Linked DNA regions of Oryctolagus cuniculus. The protein of the gene in region 1 interacts with the protein of each later gene in a pairwise test. Links are inferred from orthologs where the notes say so. Each region holds a gene or a part of one and is shown in the gene's direction. Other genes may lie near its edges.

What was found. The genes of interacting proteins can lie anywhere in the genome.
Region 2: the proteins of STAM2 (region 1) and LITAF interact in a two-hybrid assay, tested with the Homo sapiens proteins (4 studies listed by BioGRID and IntAct). The two-hybrid records come from large-scale screens. The link is inferred for Oryctolagus cuniculus from reciprocal best matches to the Homo sapiens genes STAM2 and LITAF.

Annotation. Positions count from the first base shown.
Region 1 is NC_091434.1:89,701,007-89,711,329, forward strand, and holds the start of STAM2 (signal transducing adapter molecule 2), read left to right. Parts: upstream 1-5,172; 5' UTR 5,173-5,442; coding exon 5,443-5,698; intron 5,699-10,323.
Region 2 is NC_091450.1:25,059,010-25,069,421, forward strand, and holds the start of LITAF (lipopolysaccharide-induced tumor necrosis factor-alpha factor), read left to right. Parts: upstream 1-4,339; 5' UTR 4,340-4,492; intron 4,493-5,322; 5' UTR 5,323-5,472; intron 5,473-10,412.

The DNA of each region.
Region 1 (10,323 bases):
AAAAATATAATTGTGGTTACCAGAGGCTGGGGAGACAGGTGTGTAGGGAGAGGTTGGTTGACAAGTTACTAGGTTATTGCTATTTATAGCTAGACAGGAGTAAGAAGTTCTGGGATTTTTTATCGCACAGCAGGGTAACTATACATAATGTGCTGTATATTTCTCTATTTAAAAAAAAATCCTGATAGGAGAAAAAACAAACACATATATTGGATGACAAGCGCACAGTTAAATGAAGTGTAAACAAGTATCTACCTGTACACTAAAACTGAAAGGAGGGGCTGGCATTTGGCCCAGCAGTTGTCAGTTGGAATGCCTGCAACAGGTACTGGAGTACCTAGGTTGGATCTCAGGCTTCACCTCCCAATTCCATCTTCCTGCTGGTGTGGGCCCTGGGAGGCAGCAGATGATAGGTCAAGTGGATGAGTCCCTGTCACTGGCTTGGAAGACCCGACTGAGTTCCCAGCTTCTGGCTTAGAACTGGTCCAGTCCTGACTGCTGCAGGCATTTGGGCAATGAAGTGGCAGATGGGAGCTTTCTCTGTCTCTTGGTCTCCATCTGTCTCTTTGCTTCTCAAATAAAAAATAAAAATCTTAAAAAAAAGGAAAAGGAAAAAGAGATTATTATAACCTGGTAATGAAGATTAAGTGAATGTTAGTGTTCAAAATAACACATCTTGGTTTATTTACATTCATTGGCAAAATAAATTATTCAGTAAATATTAATTTGTTTGAATTTAGCATACTTTAGAGATGTATTATTCACATGACTTTCTAAGATAAATAGAACACGCAATGTTTTTAATTTTGGCCAAATTAGGTCCCTGAAATTTGTTTGAAAGTTTACTTCTCTTTCATGGTGAAATCCAGTCATTGAAGCCTGGAAGTGAAACAATGTTGCCACCTACTGGAAAAGCATGGTAATGATGGTGACAAAGGAAAAATGTATAGACTAATTCTCCAGTTTTACATTATGAAGTAAAAATGAAGCCAATCTGTTCACATTACATCTGTCCTGAATTGTGATTGTCAGTAAAAAAAACAGCTAATAAAATCAAGTGATTCTGCGAGGAGTCCTGTGTACCTACGGCCATTGCGGCTGTGGGCTTTCAGATAATCTTCCCTGCAATATTGTCTTGAAAACATATAAATCCATGTGCAGCCACACCATACCCTGAATTTTTACATGCTTTTTCCTCTTCAACCCTGTTAATATGACCAATTTTATTGTCACTTCTGTTGATCTTTTACTTTTGCATATTATCTTTATTTTCATAAACCGATTTCAAAATGACTTTTTTCTAGTATATCCACACCTGGTTTCCCTTTTAATTTTTGCTCAAGATTCAGTCTATTCCATTTTTAAGGACTTGGAGATAATATTTCTCAATCACAATCAGAAGCATTCTCATCACCAAATCTGCTGAACTAACACTCTCAGCAAGGCCACTAAAAGATCATTTTTAATGGGTACATACCCAGATACTATTGTTCTGTACTCAGCCAACAACTGAAATTTCCCTTTCTTAAAAAAACATTTGAAATGCAGTGATGGGCATGGGAGGGAGAAAGGAGGGAGTGATGGGGCAGTGGGGGAGAGCCAGCAGCCTGGAACTCCATCTGGGTCTCCCACATGAATGGCAGGGGGCCAAGTACTTGGGCCATCTTCTGCTGCCTTCCCAGGCACATTAGCGGGAAGCTGCTGGGAACACTAATCAGCATTCTGATACGGCATGCTAGCATTGCAGGTGGAGGCTTAACCCACTGCACCACACCGCCAGGCTGCAATTTCCCTTTTTCCTCTTCTCTCTTCTACTATTTTCATACATCACTCTTTCTCCACCTGGTTATAACTAAGAGCAATAATTATGTCATTTTTCATGCTTCCCTCAGCAACCCTTGCCCCCACCACTAGTATTTTGCATGTGGTAGCACTCCATGTTCACTAAACAAAATGCTGAACGAGTAATGCCCCTGGAAAATGCTTTTGTTCCTGTGCAGGAATGGAGGATATCAAGCAACATTAAACGTAAAAAGGAACTGGCGATGGGTGGGGGAGTGCGTTGTGCCTCAGTGGGTTAAGCTGCCACCTGAGGTAAGTGGCTTTAGATGCCATCTGGCTGCTCAGAGAGTCCTGGCTACTCTTCTTCCAATTCAGCTTCCTGGTCTCTCACGTGGGTGCAGGGGCCCAAGGACTTGGACCATCCATCCTCTGCTGCTGTCCCAGGCACATTAGCAGGGAGCTGGATCAGAAGGGAGCAGCTAGGACTCAAACCGGCACCCATGAGGATGCTGGTGCCACAGGCGGGAGCTTTAACCAGCTGTGCCACAGCACCTGCACCACACTAGCAACATTTCTAAAGATTTATTTTAGGCCGGCGCCACGGCTCAGTAGGCTAATCCTCCACCTGTGGCGCCGGCACCCCAGGTTCTAGTCCCGGTTGGGGCGCCGGATTCTGTCCCGGTTGCCCCTCTTCCAGTCCAGCTCTCTGCTATGGCCTGGGAGTGCAGTGGAGGATGGCTCAAGTGCTTGGGCCCTGCACCCCATGGGAGACCAGGAGAAGCACCTGGCTCCTGGCTTCGACCAGCGGCTGCAGCGGCCATTGGAAGGTGAACCAACGATAAAGGAAGACCTTTCTCTCTGTCTCTCTCACTGTCCACTCTGCCTGTCAAAATAAATAAATAAATAAAATAAAAAAGGTGGAGATTTATTTTATTTATTTAAAAAGTACAGTTACAGGGAGAGAGAGAGGGATAGAGAGCGATAGAGCTATCTTCCATTCACTGGTTCACCCCCCAGATGGCTGCAATGGCTGGGTCTGGGCCAGGACAAAGCCAGAAGCCAAGAGCTTCTTTCAGGTCTCCCATGTGGGTTCATGCGCTCAAGCATTTGAACCATCTTTCACTGCTTTTCCGGATGCAACTAGCAACATTTCAGGTGATCGAGTGTCACATACGGCTAGCAGCCATCTGAAGAGTGCAAATATAAAACAAAAATGTAAACACACCTATCATTGCAAAGAAGCTGTATTGTAGGAGCTGGTGTTAAGGCATAATGGGTAAAGCTGCTGCCTGCAACGTGGCATCCCATGTGGGTCCTCTTGTGATCCAGCTGCTATTGGCCTGGGAAAATCAGTAGAAGATGGCCCAAAGTGCTTGGGCCCCTGCACCCACATAGGCGATTTGGATAAAGCTCCCGACTCCTGGCTTCAACCTGGCCCAGCTCTGGCTGTTGGGGTAATTTGGGGAGTGTACGAGCAGATAGAAGACCTCTCTCTCTCTGTCTCTCCTTGTCTGTAACTCTGACTTTCAAACCAATGAATAAATCTAGGAGGAGGAGGAGGAGGAGGAGGGGAAGGGGGGAAGACCACCCAAAGACAACAGAGGAGATACAAACAAGGAAATCAGAGAGAAAATTCTGGTCTCTGATACCTACAGCTACAGGGAATGGTGAACACAGCCTGAGCCCTGGGTGGATATAGGTAAAACCTCACAGTAAATGACTGTTTAATTCCAATGTATCTCGTCCAACTCTCAGTAAAACACTACAAGGCATACTGAAAGACAAAAACGGTTTGAAGAGGCAGAGCAAGCAACAGAACTAGACTCAGATACAGCAAGAATGTTAGAATTATCACACCATGACGTTGATTTATGTGTTAGGGGCTCAAATGGAAAAATGGAAAAATTAATAATATAAACAGAGAAATAGAAATAAGAAAGAATCCAAAGAAAATACTGTAAATACAAAACACTGCAGCAGAAATGAAGAATGCCCTAATGGGCTCCTCAGCAGAAACTACAGGGCCAAAGAATCTGAATCTGAAAATCTAAAATGCAAAGAAAAGAAAAAAGAATTTAAAATAATGGAGTATGTAAGAACCGAGGGAGAATTACAAAAAGCATAATGGAAATATCAAAAGAAAAAGAACAAAAGAAATATCTGAAGCAACGACTGTGAATTTCCCAAAATTAATGATACTACAGATCCAACGACAGATACAACGCCGAACAGTACGAATTCCAAAAAACTCTATACATAAGTACATCCCAATCAATATACAGAAGATCAAAGGCAAAGAGAAAATCTGAAAGAAGCCCGAGATGGGGAAAACACCTTACTACCTACAGGGGAGTAAGGATAAGAACTACAAGTGGGTTCAGAAACCATGGAGGCACGAAGAGAAAAAGTGAACTATTTAAAGTGTACAATGAAAAAAAAAAAACCACCAATCTAGAATTCTCTATCTATTGAAATTAACCTTTAAAAGTAACGAAGAAACAGGCTTTCTCTGGCACACGAAATTCGAAGGAATCTGGCGACAGTGGAATTATCTTACAATAAATGTGAACAGAAGTGCTCAGGGAGAAGGAACACGACATAGGGCCGAAATGTGGATCTACATCTTCAAAACGAAAAGCAGTAAAAGAACAGGTGAAAATAAGATAAAATCTTTTTCCTTATAAAATTTTTCCTTAATTGAATAGCTAACATGCTAGCTATTAGTCCAATTAATAGTCACTGTGAGAGAGAGGAAACATTAGGACAAAAGTGAAGTCAAGGGGCTGGGGCTGTGGCATAGTGGATAAAGAGGCCAACCTGTGAGATAAACACAAGTTCGTTGTCTCATGAGGGGAGACAGACAACCTAGGAGGCAATTATGTCCTCGGGAAAACCATGACGGAGGGCGACGAGGGGCAGGGAAGGTGTGAGTCCAAGGGGTGCTGACATTCCAGTGCCGGGCCGGATGCGACGGCCATCTGTTTGCTAATTACTAGTCCCACACGGTCGCCTACGACCTCGTACATAGGCACTGCCCCTGTGAAGAGTAGGGGGTTTGCCTCATCCGCCTTCGGATTCCCGGAGTGAGCACTGCTTTTACGGCGAGGAGGCGGCGGGAGGCGAAAGGTACGAGTCCCTGCAGAGCCCTAAGCGCCGCGACCACCGCTTCCCATGGGCGGCTGTTCTCGGGGGATTTGGGGCGCAGCGCCCTAGAGGTGGGCGAGCAGAGCTAAGCCAGGCCTCGGGCAGACTCGCAAAGCCACCGCGCCGCCAGCGGCTCCGTTTCCAGGGCTACCGCACTGTGACGCGAACGCAGCCACGGGCGCTCAGCGGCCGCCGGCGACCAGACCTGCAGCCCTAGAACTCCATCAGCAAGAAGAACCGGGCAGTTACGATCCGCGCCCCCAACTCCGCCCGCCCCACGAAAAACCCGGGCCCGCCGCGCCCCCTGCCGCGCCGCCGGTCGCATTGCAGCTTCCGGACCTCCTGCGTTTCTCATCAGCAACTTCCGTTTCCGAAGGTCCCGGCTCCGTGGCTTGCCGAGGTCCTCGCCACGGAAAGGTGGCCGCGCCAAACGCCTGAGCCCTGCGAAGGCCTGGGACCAGGACTGCTGCCTCCTCTAGGTGGGCGGCTGCGACAGGGGCGCTGAGAGGATGCCCGATGCCGGCGGGACGTCGTCCCAAAAGCGGAGTCGGGGGCGGAGCGCCCGCTGGCAGCCCGTCAGGCAGGCAGGCGTCAAGCCGGCCCGCGGGCGGAAGAACGGGGCGGGCGTCCGGAGCGGAGTCGTCTAGGAAGCCGCGGTCCCGGGTCAGCCGGCGGGGAGGAGCTGCTGAGACCCAGCCAGACCGCAGGGACGCGGACCCGGACGCCGGCGAGATGCCACTGTTCACCGCCAACCCCTTCGAGCAGGACGTGGGTGAGTGCTGCGCCGGGTCCTGGGCGGCTGTAGGTGCAGCCGGAAAGTGGGCGGCGGCGACTCTGACTGCGGACTGGGAAGGGGCGGTGCCGCCGCCTCTGCGACGGAATGTTTTGGGGGCGATCTCGGCGCGTCGCAGGGGGTCTAGGGAGTACTTCCTGCCTGCGTAGGTTGGAGATCCCTAAAGGGCGGTGCCCCTCGCCGGGCGCCGGGAATACGGCCGAGCTGGAGTTGGAGTCTGGACTGATTGCATACTTAGGGAGTTGTCGCGAACTTTCTGCCCCTCTTGGAGCCTGTTGATGAGCCCTCCTGCCTTGGAAGAGGCGGCGGCTGTGGATACCATACTGTCTAGGGCAGCTCGGCGCTGGAGAGGTCGGCTGCCCCGTGTCGAATGGGGAGAGCTCACGTACACGCGCGTGCAAGCGCTGATGGCACACATTCAGAATTCATGGACGGTTGTACAGGTGCCGTCCTACATTCAGAATTCACGTACGGTTGTACAGGTGCCGTCCCTTACCTTCGATCGCGCAGATGCGACACGTCCTGTCTTGGGAGATGAAAAGGAAAACTCTGGCATCTCAGAAAAGGCTAGAACATCTCGCATTTTCTGCTTGAAAACTTGTCTGGTAAAAGTAGACTGCGTTGTTCTGCCCCCTGCACTGTTCCAGAGCTTCCCCTTAGTGGCTCCTGAGCCCCTGCAGGATTTAGTGGGTCACACTTTAGCATCACTTCGGTAAGAGAGTTACCACTGTTGAGATGAAAAGTACTGTTGTTCATAGATGATCTCGTGGACAGTGCCGTCATCCAAAGCTTCAGGCGCTTGCTTGTCAGCTCATGTGTGACTGGATTCAGTATCCAAAGGCAACTTAAGGATAAAAAGCTAATTCTACAAGTGGATGGAATTAGAGAAAGTGGAATGAAAGGCTAACGAGCTTACATTGGCCTTAAACCTGTATCAGGCAAGAAAAATTTGACATGTTGCATTTTCATGTCTTAACACTTTTTAATGTGAAATAGTTAATAACAAAGCAACTCATTAGTTGACTTGAGATGTCTCCTGAAATGTTTCTTTACAGAGTGTTATCTTTTTTACCTACAGTCATGTGACACATAAGATGTTTTGTTCAATGAGGGACCACGTACATGATGAGGGGCTCTTACAAGGTTGTGTGTCCTAGTGATGTCGTTGTTGTCTTAGTTTGTGTAAGCACAGACTGTGGTGTTTGTACGGTGACATGGTTGCCTAACGATGCATTTCTCGGAGGCGGGTCCCATCACTAAGCATCACATGACTGGTCTTCACTCAGCAGGTATTTCTCACTGCTTGATCCTCAGTGTCACACCTGTGTTCACTGAGCAGACATGCATCGGGTATCTGCTGTGTATCAGGTATTGTGCTTAGTTCTGAGGATGCAACAGGTGAATACATGGGCTTCTTGCCTTCGGGCAATTCTCTCAGTCTAGTGGAGGACGTACACACGTAAGAAGACAGTTATAGTGTATTCATCAGTTTTCTGTTGCTGTAACAGCACACCCGAGACTGCGTAATTTATAACAGGAAGGGGTTTGTTTGGGTCACCAGTTTTGGAGGCAGGGAACTTCACCCTCTGTTCAGCTGCTGACCAGAGCCTGTGAACAGGGCAAGAATGAGTGTGCACCATCAGGAGAGAGGAAAAGGAGACCAAACTTCTGACCTATTCTTTTAGGAAAAAATGTTAATCCGTTCATGAGAGTGGAGCCCTTGGCCCAAAATGTCTCTCGAAGATGCCATCTTCTCTCAGCACTGTTGCATGGGGAGCCACGGTCAGATTACAGCACACAATGTGTTGATATACACAAAATGCCTTCCCCTCTCTGTTTAAAACAGTCATCTTCCCTGAGGAGACAAGGCCCGCAGGTAGGAGCTCTTGCTAGAAAGGTGCTGAAACTCTGCTCTCCCTCCCCCTCTGCTGACAGCACTTCTGCTAGCCAAAGCCCTGTCCCCAGTATCAATCAAAGTAAGGAGGACAGGATTTTGAGATGAAGGAGAGAGAACATTTAATCTGTCCACAGATGATAGGGACTCCTGCTGTGCTAGGGGTTTGGGGCTTATAAAGGGGCACAAGGAAGGAGGTGCTGGCATGGCACAAAATCATGAGAGAGCTGCGGGGCTTTGGTGTCAGGTGCCACAGCCGGTCACTAGAGGGATGACAGTGCATTCCCTCTCAGTTTCTGTGGTGCTCCTTTAGGTCCACAGGTGGTGAGATGAGCTCTAGCCTGGGAACCAGGCGCTGTGAGCCTGAGGACGTGGGCGGGCAGAAAGCCAGCAGTGCAGCCCTGAAGCATCAGCTTCCTGCCTTAACGTTTGAGTAGTATAGGTCGTCCACTTCACGTGATTTCATACTCGGCTGCACTTCTGCCACTCCCGTGTGCTGGTGTGTGTGATAACGATTATGTTATAGACAAGAGCCTTTTACAGTGAAACTTGTTTGGTAGGTGCGCATGCTCACTGGGGGTTGAGCAGTCTTTGTGACACCATTCACGTGAAAAAGAAGTGCTTTTCTCAGTGCCTGAGAAAAACTGACAGGTCAGGATGTCAGGAAGGCACTGAGGAGTCAATGGATGATAGGTGTTTCGTCAGGTGCATGCTGGCCAAAGGCTCAGAAGTAGGGAATTTTGGCAAGTTGCTGTCTTTTCTTAGAGTTAGACCTACAAGCTCTGAAAAGTATACTAGGTATAGCGCATTTGTGCTCTTGAAACATTCTAAATTGGATTTCTTCCAATTTGGATTAATTCTTTGTTGAATAAAATTTCTTTGAAGCTCTTCTAGGAGGAAGGGGGAACAGAAAATATTCTCATACCTCCCCTACCTCCTTGCCCTGGGGCCTGATTGTTAAAGGGGGTAATGGGGCCTGTGCTGTGGTACAGCTGGTAAAAGCCCTGGCCTGAAGCCATATGGGCGCCAACTGCTCCTCTCCAGCTCTCTGCTATGGCCTAGGAAAGCAGTGGAAGATGGCCCAAGTCCTTGGGCCCCTGCACCGGTGTGGGAGACCCGGAGGAAGCTCCTGGCTCCTGGCTTCGGATCAGCGCAGCTCCAGCCATTGCGGCCATCTAGGGAGTGAACCAGCGGATGGAAGACTGACCTCTCTGTCTCTACCTCTTTCTGTAACTCTTTCAAATAAAAATAAAATAAATCTTTTTTTTTTTTTTTTTTAAAGAGGTAAGCACTGGTCTCCTGCAGTGGAGCCTGGTTGGGGCAGCCATTCTTAAGAGAATGTAAAGGAGTAAGTGAAGCGTGGGGGGCGGAGCAACAGAGGAAGGTTAAGTGGTCAGTATTAGAAGAGGAGATGTCATTTCCTTATGTTGTCCCAACTTTTCCTGAGTCATGCCTCTGTTCTACATTGTAACTCCAGTTCTTTGCATTTCTTTTTTGCCCCCTTAATCAAGCCAGGCATATCTTTCTTTCCAGAAACTGCCTGTGTTGTTTACCGTTCATTTGTAAATGTTGGTCTTTTTGATAACCTTGATATCGCCTTTTTTTTTTTTTAAAGATGTATTTATTTATTTGAAAGTCAGAGTTATACAGAGGGAGGAGAGGCAGAGAGACAGAGAGGTCTTCCATGGGCTATTTCACTCCCAAGTTGGCTGCAAAGGCCGGAGCTGTGCTGATCCAAAGCCAGGAGCCAGCAGCTGCTTTCTGGGTCTCCTACATGGGTGCAGGGGCCTAAAGAAGTGGGCCATCTTCTACTGCTTTCCCACCCAGGCCATAGCCAAGAGCTGGATCGGAAGTGGAGCAGCCCACGACTCAAACTGGCACACATATGAGATGTTGGCACTGCGGGTGGTGGCTTTTACCTGCTATGCCACAGTGCAGGCCCCAGTACTACCTTCTTGTGTCTCAGGAAGCTGAACTCAAATTGTACCTCAACAAAACTCTTCTGATACAGCAAATTGAAGTGTGAACTTTTTTTTTTTTTTTTTTTTAAGATTTATTCGTCTACTTGATAAAGGCAGTTACAATGTGAGAGAGAGAGATAGCTCTTCCATCTGCTGGTTCATTCCCCAAAGGCCACGCCAGCCTGGTCTAGGCCAGACTAAAGCCAGGTGTCTGGCACTCCGTACTGGTACCCCTACGTTGGTATCAGGGACCCAAGCACCTGGGCCATCTTCTGCTGCTTTTCCAGGCACAATTAGCAGGGAGCTCACTGTTGAAATCTTTACTCAGTATAGAGTTGATCTTCTGTGTATAAACATAATTAAAAATAAATCTTCATGAAGAATGGGATGGGAGGAGGAGTAGGAGATGGGCTGGTTTGTGGGTGGGAGAGTAGGTATGGGGAGAAGAACCTCTATAATCCAAAAATTGTACTTTTGAAATTTATATTTATTAAGTAAAAGTTTTCTATTAAAAAAAAAAAGTGGAGCAGTCGGAACTCATGTGGAGCTTGTATGAGATGCCAGTGGCTTAACCTGCTGCACCACAGTGCCAGCCCAAACTTTGGTCTGTGAGGATACTTTTATTAGTGAAATTTGAATGTGTGCATTCCTGTGTCTGGCTTTTGTTGTGCACATATAGGGTGCCCCAAGTGATAAAGTTTTATGTGAAAGGTGAGAAAGCAAGCATGCACATGTGAGCATGGGTTGCC
Region 2 (10,412 bases), on another chromosome or scaffold:
TGGGGGCCTCTGAGCCCACGCCCAGAGCCATGTGCGGTGGGGAGGGGGATGGGCAGCACAGTGTACAGGGCTCGGCCTGGGTTGCAGCTCCAGCTCCTGGAACACGCACGGCCACCTGCCCAGGTCAGCGCGTGGGGGTGCTCCTGCTCACCCCCCGCCCCCACCTCAGGGCACAGCCTCACGGGACAGGGCTTCCCCCTCCAGGGAACTGTCTCACTGTTCCTGCCCCTTGACCTCAGCTCGCTTCGGCCTGCTGGGGCGCCTGCCCTCCCACCTGCCCTCCCATGGGGCTCTGGACAGGAAGACAAGGCAGTATCAATTCGGAAGGGGAAGTGTGTGTGTTGGGGGCTGGGGGCGTTTCGGGGGCAGGAAGTGGGAAATTCGAACAATGGCACTGGAGGGAGGGGCAGCCGGGGGCCGAAGCCAGCTGCGGAGCCCAGGCGGGACCCACAGATCCAGGGGGAAACCTGTGGTCCTGGGGCCACGCGGAGACTGTGGGAGCCGTGATGGCCAAACAACCCTGGCTGCGGCTCCCAGGCAGGCAGGGGCACCAGGCCCCGGCCCGGGGCGCCCCCTCCGCCCGCCCATGTGTGGGCACGTTTGTTCCTTCCTTCACCCTGCAACTACCCCCTGAGAACTGATCTTTACAAACTTCTGCTCCTGTCCCTCCCCGGCCTCGGGACAAGACCAAGCGCCTCTCTGGCTACTGCACGCCCGGTCCTGCCACGCCGGCTCCGCCTTGGGCCCCTGCGCTGCGCCCCTGCCTGCAGGGCTCCTCCCGGGCTCTTTCCCATTCTTCACACCTGTGTCAGAAGGCGCCTCTTACAGGCTGCCCTCCCGACTTTACTCCCTGCAGTTCCCTCCCAGCACACACACACACACACGGTGCCTTTCCCCGGCTGCCGTCTCCCTCCTGCAGTGGACGCCGAGTCCGCAGAAGGTGGGCACCATCCCCCCCGCCCTGGCCGGCACACAGTAGGTTTGCAAGTCGGGGTGCAGCGTTGAAGCAGAGAACACCCTCCTCACACAGGAATCCCAATCGGGGGTCCCCACGCCCACTTTGCAGACTCCAGAAAGCCAGGGGCCAGCAGGAGGCCGGGCAGCGGGCCAAGTTCAGGTGCCAGTGGACTGTGGGAGGCCTCGGCTGTGTGCACGGACGCCGGGGGCAGGGCAGAGCAGCAGAGCCCGAAGGCGGCTGAGGGCAGCCCCTTTGTCCGGCTGGACCTTTCCTGGGACCCCCTCGAAGCCCCCAGGACGGCCCATGGGCCACGTGGGCCGCCTCCGAGCTGTCACGGCCACTTCACCCACAAGCACGCGGCCGCCCAGCAGCCCTAGGGGAGCCCTGCTGCCCCAGCCGCTCCACTTCGCAGAAGGGGAAACTGAGGCACAAAGAGCAGGAGACGGGAACCCAGAAGCAGGGCCCCACCCAGCGGAGCGGCCTTCGAAGGCCGGGGGCCGGGCGGACCCCAGCCAGGGGCACCTGCTCTGCGGCACCCGCTCACAGGCTCCCTCTGTAGGACAAAGCCTGGCGTTCAAAGCCAAGGCCACCAGTTCCCCCGAAACCTGGATAACCTCCATACTACCTGTCCCCTCCGACTCCACACACCTGACCCCTGGGTCCCAGCAGCACCCCGGACACCACCAGAGACTGGCTGGAGCACAGGGCAGGCCGTGTCCCCTGGGGTGACAGCAGCAAGGCAGAGCAGCCCCAGTGAGCACCGGCCGGCCCGGCCCTAAGCCGCTGGACCGCCACCCAGGCCGCAGCCCTCTGCTCCCTGCCCGTGTCTCCCAGGCCCGGGGAGGCCAATGAGAGCCCAGAGCAGCCAGGGGAGCTGCGTGTGACCCCGAGCCCAGCACTGCCCACCAGCGGGCCCCTGCCTTCCTGCAGGCCTGCCCCACCTGGGCCGGGGGCCGCTCCCTCTGCCTTGACTTGGGATCTTGCAACTAAGTCTTCACCCACCGCACATGTCGGAGGCCGAGTGGGCACAGCCAGCAGCTGGGTGGCCCGAGTCCTCTCCCCCCTGAGCCCTGCCCGCGCTCGGGGTGACGTCGGGACCCCACCAAGCTGCTCCGGGCTGGCCTCAGTTTCTCAGTGTGGAGCCCCTGGCCTCACCGGCCACCTTATGAGGTGGGTGAGTGAGCGGAAGGGCCCGGGGCCTCTAAGGTCGCATGTCCCCAGCCACGCCTCCGTGGGGTGCCACAGGAGGGCAGTGGGTGCTCAGGACCAGAAAGACACAGAGCGCGGGCCCAGGCCCGGTGCCACAAACAGCCCCTTCCCCAGGGACTCGCTGCCTCCTCCTCTCCTCCTCCTCGTCGTCGCTGACTGGGGCACATCACCAGGTTGCTGGGCTCAGCGGGGCACCAGCCTGCAGCTCCCGGGGCTCACCAAGGCAGCCAGGAGGCTTGCTGGCTCTCTGGGGACCACGCACCTCCAGAACTGTCCCCAGGAGCCATGCCCCTCATGCCCTAACAAGCCACCTGCCAAGGCCGCCAAACCACCAGGCTCTGCCTCCCCAGGGGTCCCCGTTCACAAACCAGAGCGGCTCCTGCCCAGGTCCCTTGGGAAAACAGGGCTGCGGGGAGCCCAGGGCTCCGCGGGTCACCGCCAGGACGCAGGTGGAAGATCTGCCCTGTGCCGCACCGGCTCTGTGGCACTGGGCACAAGGACGCATCACGCGCAGCCGCGGCTGTCCACGAGCCAGGATCAGAAGCAGGGGGAGCCCAAGGCAGCCCCGTGGCTCTCGGGCCAGTGCTGGTTCACCCCTGCCCCTCCCGGAGGAAGCCCCAGGTTTCCCGCAGCAGAAGAGGAAGCTGGAGCCCGCAGACCTCAGGGGCTGTCCCAAGGTCAGCCAGGGGCTCCTGTGGCCCGGGCCCCAGTCCCGTGCCCCCGCCCTGTGAATCACCTGCCGCCTGAGAGGCTGAACAACTCTGGGAATAACAGGGGAAGCTGGAGAAAAGTTGGCGCAGTCGCCGTGTGCCAGCACTAATGCCTTGGGCAGATGTCTCCTTCCCACGTCCAAACCACCCCGCGGGTGGCAGACGGAGGCGCTAAGGCTCAGAGAAGTCAAGTCAGCTACCCAAGGTCACACAGCTCAAAAGTAGGTGCGCACAGACCCAATCACCCAGGTGGCCTGCAGCCGGAACTCCAGCTCCCAATCGTGACCCTAAACTGTCACAGTCTTCACCCACCCACCCCCAGCTCCTCTCCCCGGTGCCCGAGGGGCCTGGGACCAGCTGACCCCAGGGCGGTCGCCCTCGGGACTCAGGATGACAAGCACCCATACGCCAGCGAGCGCGGGCGGCGAGCAGGCTGGGTGCCAGGCGCTCCACGCACCCTCTCATTAACCCTGGCGGGGCCGCCGGCGTCCCCGCGCCGCACGGAGCAGCAAGCCCGGTGCCAGGGACGCAGGGGCTCGGCCGGGGGGGGCGACAGCTGGGGAGGGGGCGACAGCTGGAGGCGGCTGGAGCCGGCCCGCCTTGGGGCGGGGGTCGGCGGCCACGAGACCCAGTCCTGCCCACGCCACGCCGTCACCGCCGACGGAGCCGCGCCCGCCTCAGTTTCCCCACCCGCGCGCCAGGCGCCGGACGTCGCCCGGACCCCTGACTCCCGCCTGATTCCGTCGCCGCAATCCGCCTGACCGCGCTGGGGGCTGCCAGGACCCAAGCCTTGGAAGCAATTTTGAAAATCCTCGAAGTGTCCCAGGGAGCCCCGGAGGCCGGCCCGGGCCTGGGCGGGGGGCGTGCACAGGGGGCTGGAGCACCGCTCCCCGCGAGGCGGCCTCCGCCCCCCGCCGCCTCCTTTGTCCCGACCTCTCCGCAGCGCAGCGGACAAAGAGCCCCCGCCGCGGGCGCGGCCCCCGGAACAGACAGACCCTCCCTCCCGCCAGCCGCGCCCCGGCCCGGGCCGCCCCTCCCTCGCCGCGAAGACCACCTCCCACCCAGGCCCGGGGCACCGCCGCCCCGCGCGCCCGCGCGCGCGCCCCCACCCCGTCCGGGGCCGCCCCTTCCCCTCCCTCAAGCCCCCGCCTGGCGCACCGCCCAGCCCGCCCGGCCCCGCTCACCATGGCGCAGCCCGCAGCCCCGGCCCGGTCGCCCCGCAGCAGCCCCGCGGGCCCGGCTCCGCCCGCCAGCCCGCCAGCCCGGTCCGGCCGCCGCGCACCGTCGGGACGCAGGAACCCCGCTCTGCGGCGGGCGGGGCGCCTCAGGCTCCGCCCCGGACGGGGGCGGGGACCTCCGGCGTGGCCAATAGGCGCCTGCGCTGGGACGGCGGGGCGGGCCGGGCCGGGGCGGAGTCACGTGCGCTCGGGGCCGGGGCCGGGGCGGCCGGCGTGGGCGGGGGCTCCGCGCAGCTGGCGGGACGGCGGGCGGGGCGGGGGGCGCTGGTGGGTTGGGGCCGCGCCGTCAGCGCCGTGCCTCCGCCAGCCTCACCCCAGCCCCACGGGCTGTCCTCTTCCCGCGCGCTTACCGACGGGGAAACTGAGGCGCCCGGCAGGTAAGAGCTTGGGACTGGAGCCAGCTGGTCGTTTACTCATTCGTAAGGTTTATCGAACCTCGGCCACATGCCTGCTGCCCCGGAGGCCTCAGCGCAGCGGGAGCCAGAGAGTTCCACCCCCTTGACAGTGTGTCATCCTGCTTATTTTGACCGTAATAGCAGGCGCCCTGCCCACCAGATGCCCAGCCCTGTCCTACCAGTGAGTACGCTTAGCTCAAGACAGACCCCCACGGAGCTAGCCCACCTTACCGCTGCGAGGTGCGGAGGGATCCCAGGGTTTGGTTCCAGGCCTGCGCCCCCGGCTGGGAGAGGCCCCAGTTAGTGTGGGCATAGCAGCTGGTCGCTGCAAGTGGGCGCTCGCCGTGGCCAGTGAGGCCCGTTCGAGGGGTGGGTGCTGCAAGGCCGGTGAGCCCAGAGGGGCTGGTGGACCTGGGGCTCCTGGGAGCTGGACGGCTTGTCCGCCGGTAGCTTCTTTGCCTGTCTCTGGCAGAAGCTTGCAGGCCAGGGCGTCGGGCATCCCTGGCTCCCTCCTGCACGGCCTGGGCTCTCCTCCCGCGCCGTCAGAGCACCAGGCTGTTCCTGCCCCAGTGCCTTTGCCATGCCACTTGCTCCTGCCCGTGCCACTTCTCCACTTCATTGATCTCAGCTTGAATGGCCCTTCCTTGGCAGGGGCTTTCCTAACCCCCCCCCCCCGCCCCACCTCCCCATCTCTCCTGCCCCTTGTGAAATTAAACATTTGGGGGGCAGAGCAAGGGAGGGCCTTGGGAGTTGGGGGTGGTGATGAGCTTTTCCCTGGGTTGGGTCTGCTCCATTCTCTGTCTTTTCTGCAGAGGAGCGCCAGGCACACAGGCTGGCTGCCCTGTGCTCTGGCTGTCCGTCACACCTGGGAGTCCAGAGTGGCAGGAAACAGGTTCTTCCCACAAAGCCAGTTCCAGCGGCCTTTGCGGTCCCAGCCTCCAGCCAGCAGAGCATCATTAGTGGTAAGAGCTGGGCAGGGCAGGCTTGGAACCCCAGAGCCAGAGCTGGCGTCGCGATGCCAGGCAGGCAGGGACACTTGGGGGAACAGATTCTCGGGGGAAAGTGGTAATGGAAGTTGGCAGACTGCCAGGGTTCGAGTCCAGCCGTTTATGCTGTGTGGCTTTGGAAAAGCAGCCTGACCTCTCTGTGCTGTTTTCTCTGGTGTGAGCACATCGAGTGCTTGGCACAGAGGACGGCCTCCTGGCCACTCGCTGGTGCCGTCAGTGCTAGGGTTGAACGGGTTGGGCCGTGAACTTGAACTTCCCCGGCACGTTGCTGCACCCCCAGAGCCTTGGGTGCCTCGTCTTCAGGGTGGGTCTCATGAAACCCACCTCGGGGGTGGGCTGAGGATGGGGGACCTGCAGCAGCCCTCTGAGCCCCTCTTGTCTAGAATGTTCCAGTAATGCTAAGTTACTGTGAATTGTACCGGTGGCATTTGCTGGGAACTGGACAGACATTTCACACCCATTCTACGGAAGAGGAGCCGAGGCACCCCAGGGTGCGTGTGCACCCGGGGAGGGTGCCGTAGAGCAGACCCTGGCTGTGGTCTGCAGGTCTCACGAGCACCCCAGGCGGGGCCAGGGCGGGGCAGTGTTCCCCACACTTAACACAGCGAGGGCCCGAGTCGTTTGCTGAAGGCCACAGAACAGCAGTGCCCAGCCCGGGGTTGGAGCCCCTCCAGTGTCCTGCCTGCCCCGGCCCCGGCCCCGCTGTCATCCCTGGCTGGGAGGAGGCAGGAAGTGTAAGTCCCTTCCCCCAGAGCAGTTTCCTCCCGGTGCCTCCGGGTGACATCTGGCCCAGGGTCCCCAGGGTCCTCCCTGTGGGCCGGGCTGCAGGTTCCCAGCTGCTCATTAGCCAAGACGATAATTAAGGGCGGGGGATGAGCTCACCCCTGCTCCCTCGGGCCTGCCGGGGCCCAGTCGGCCCTGCCCTGTGCCAGCCTGGCCCTGTGCCCACTCCCCCCCCTCCCAGTGCTGGAGGGGCTTGTGGGGGGAGGGGGGTGAAGCAGACGCAGGCAGCCTTAGGGGAGCCCCCTGCAGCCCAGCCACAGCCCCCAGGCATCTGCTCCAGGGATTTCCAGGCCTAAAAGCAAAAGGAACCCTGGGGCCAGAGAGGAACCCCCTGAAGGGCGAGGAGCACGCGCTGAGCAGGGGCCGGTGGGAGGCCCCGCCCTGCTCTTTCCAGGGGGTAGCCCCTCCCACCTCGCTCCCAGCTAACGTGGCTGTCACGGCTCCCCAGGCTGGCTCAGCCCTCCTGGCTCCAGGACTGCGCTGTGGAGCCAGAGTGTCCCGGCGTTGTATTTGGCGCGCTTGTGCGTCGGTTTTCTCCTGTTCATGGCAAGTGTTGCCTTTTTTTTTTTTTTTAAAGATTTATTTATTTATTTGAAAGAGTTACAGAGAGAGAGAGAGAGGTCTTCCATCCACTGGTTCACTCCCCAAATGGCCGCAACAGCCGGAGCTGCACCGATCCAAAGCCAGGAGCCAGGAGTTTCTTCCGGGTCTCCCACGCAGGTGCAGGGACCCAAGGCCTTGGGCCATCTTCCACTGCTTTCTCAGGCCACAGCAGAGAGCCGGATGGGAAGTGGAGCAGCAGGGACTCAAACCGGCGCCCATATAGGATGCCGGCATTTCAGGCCAGGGCTTTAACCTGCTCTGCCACAGCACCGCCCCAGGTGTTGCCTTTCCATTCGGGACAGTGACAAGGTGCCTCTTCCTTTTAAAATCTGCTTCTTAAGAGGCAAGTGCGTTACAGTATACAACTTGTCATCACAGAGCTGGGGTGGGAACAGTGGCAGATGCAGGGGACCCAGGCCCATCCCACGGGGGGTCTGCGACAGAGCCCTCCCAGGAGCCCCTGTGGAAGTCCGTCTGCATTGCTGCGGTTGAGTGGGGGCTGGGTCGGCTCTGGGCTTCGTTCCTGGGGGTCGTGGTGTCAGTGAGAGGAGGGACTGGCGAATGGTGTGTGCGAGGTGTGAGTGCTGGGTGCAGCCGGCCGGCGTGGGGCGGGGAGGGCCTCCGAGATGGGTGCCGGCTGCCAGGAATGTAGCCTCAGCCTGGAGCCAGGGAAGTTCACGGGCACGCAAGGGGCAGGCGATGAGCTGGCGCTGGGCAGGGAGCCTTTTTATTTATTTAATTGTATGTTAAGATTTATTTGAAAGAGAGGGAGAGACAGAAAGAGCTTCCATGTGGTGTCTCACTCTGCAAATGGCCACAATGGCCGGGGCTGGGCCAGGCCAAAGCCAGGAGCCAGGAGCTTCATCTGGGTCTCCCACGTGGGTGCAGGGGCCCAAGCACTTGGGGCATCTTCTGCTGCTTTCCCAGGCCATTAGCAGGGAGCTGGATTGGAAGCGGGGCAGCCGGGACTTGAACCGGCACGCCTATGGGATGCTGGTGTGGCAGGCAGCACCTAACCTGCTATGCACCACGCTGGCCCCTGCTGCAGTTCCGTAGGTCACGCAGTAGGTACCAGGTACCTGAGAAAGACCCTCATCCAACCTCGAGGTCCCCATCCCACTGTTCCGTCCCCGCCTGGGGTCCCTGTGGCCCTGAGCCCCGGCCCACTTTTTGTACCTCCTCACCACGCCTCCGTCCTAGAAAGGGTGTTTTCCTTTAGTTTCTGCCTACTAACTGCATGAAAAGGGTTATGAGCGTCCCAGTGTTGGAAAAGGCAGCGAGTGTCTCAGGGTTTATTCCAAGTTCTTTCCCCGTACAGTTAAGAAAGCAGAGCACCCGTGAGGTGCAGAGGCGGGGGCAGCGTTTATTTGAAGTGAGAGAGTGAATACACACGCACGCGTGAGTGCAGCCACCCCACACGGACAGGCACCGTCCTGAGTGGGCCAGAGAGCTGCCCACCAAGACAGAGCCTGGGAGGGGGCGGGGAGGGACCAACAGCCTGGGAAGCCAGAAGGACCACGCCCACAGCCTTTGTGGGGTAGGGGGTGGTCCCTTAATTGAGTATGCAAATAGGGTGGAGTCTGGGCATGAGGCTTTGTGGGAGTTCTGTGGCATCGGCTCCTCCTTCCTGGTCCCAGACAAGGCCCCGGGTGCATCATGGGATGCTGGGTGTGCTGGATTGGCAGGTAGGTGGGTGGAGTGACAGTGCAGGGCTGCATGGAAGTTAGGGGAAAATCTTCCAGCTCACGTATTCCTACCCGAGTGCCGCCTGCTTCCCCCGTATCACTAGGACCACTGTAACAAATGACCACAAGCCGGATGTTCTCTCCTGGTCCCCGAGGCCGGAAGCCTGAAACCCAAGTGTGGACAGGCACCTGCGCCCCCGAGTGCACCGGCTGGGACCTGGTCCACGCCCCTCCCCAGCCTCTGGGCGTCCTCGGCTTTACGTCGCCCGGGTCTCTGCCTCCGTCTTCATGGGCATCGCCCCCTGTGTGCCCTCCCCTCTTATTCAAGGACACAAGGATGTAGGGGCCCTCATCCAGGGTGACCTCATAGAGACTGAACCTTGTTTCTAAATAAGAGCGCATCTTCAGGTAGGGGTTAGGATTTCGATGTGTCATTTTGTGGCTACAGCTCAAACCACGGCAAAGAGAACCATACTCACGCTGTGTGACTCTGGTGGGTCTTGGCTTCTCCATGCATTCGTGCTTGTCCACGGCTAAGAACGGCCCACCTGGAGGTCCCAGCGTCGCAGGTGGTGGATTAACCTGCTACACCACAGCATGCCCCCCCCCATTTTCCACTCAGTGTCCTGAAGCTCTGTGTGTGCATAATTTGTCATCTTTCCCAACATGGAAGTCTAAAGGATATTTCCGTGTGCAATCTGCTGAAGATGGAAGTGGTGTCATTTGGAGCTGGTTTTTGTCTACAGTGTGAGGTAGGGATAGGTCACATAATCGTAGAAGCGCTCCTAGGCTGACGGCCGTGTCTTGGAGGCTGTGGGGCCGGCTATTCCGTGGAGGCTTCTGGCGTATACTGCACACTGCACACTGGGTTTTGAGTTCTGACTGTGCCTCCCATGGGCCCGCCCGTGGGCTCAGTCTTCTCGTCTGTAATGGGGATTTGAATAGCTGCTGCCCCCGGGTGCCAGGAGGATTTCATGAGATACACGGGTGCCGTCCGGTTTGCCTGGTGCTCGGCGTGGCACGCTGGTGTTTACTGAGCACGCCATGCCGGTTATTAACCCCGTGAAGGTGGTGAAGAGACCGGGCTCGGCCCAGCAAAGCCACGCCCTCCCGCCTTGGGACAGCCATGAAGGGGCGGGGATTGACCCCAACTCCCTTTCACACAGCAGCAGGGGACGAGGCTGGGGGGGGGGGGCGTGGCCAGGGATCTGGTCAAGTCCCTCAAGGCCTCCCGCACGGGCAGCTGACCCCGCAGTGGAGATGAAGCGAGTTAGTCACGGTCGCTTTGGCAGGTCGGTCCATCAGCGGCTGTTATCCACAGCTGGGCCTCAGCACAGCCTAGGGCCGGGGCTGGGGGCTTCGCATCCAGCAGGGGACACGGAAGCCCCCTCAGCTGAGGGCTCTGGGCTCAGCTCTGCCACCTTGGGAAGGCCAGTGGACGTCTCTGGGCCTCAGTTTCCCTTCCTGGAAAGTGGGAGTCACTGGCCTCCCCTTCGCAGCAGATTTCGGTCACTCACGCGACCGGCGTGGGTGGGAGCTGCTGTCATCATTTGTCATCATTCTTCCCGCCATCCTGTCCCAGTCGTGTGAGGACACTGGGCCAGGCTCACAAGAAACGCGCCACCTGCCGTGAGCAGGTGCACGACGGGCATTCTCCCCGGCAAGGTGGCTGCCGCTGGGCTGAGACTGGGTGAGGACCGAGACAAGATCCCTGAACCGAAAGCCAGGAGAGGGCAGAGGTCAGGAAGAAAGGGTTGAGAGGATGCGGGAATAAAGTACTCTGTACCCCACTTTCGCTAGAAACTGCCAAAGTGAGAACCCCGA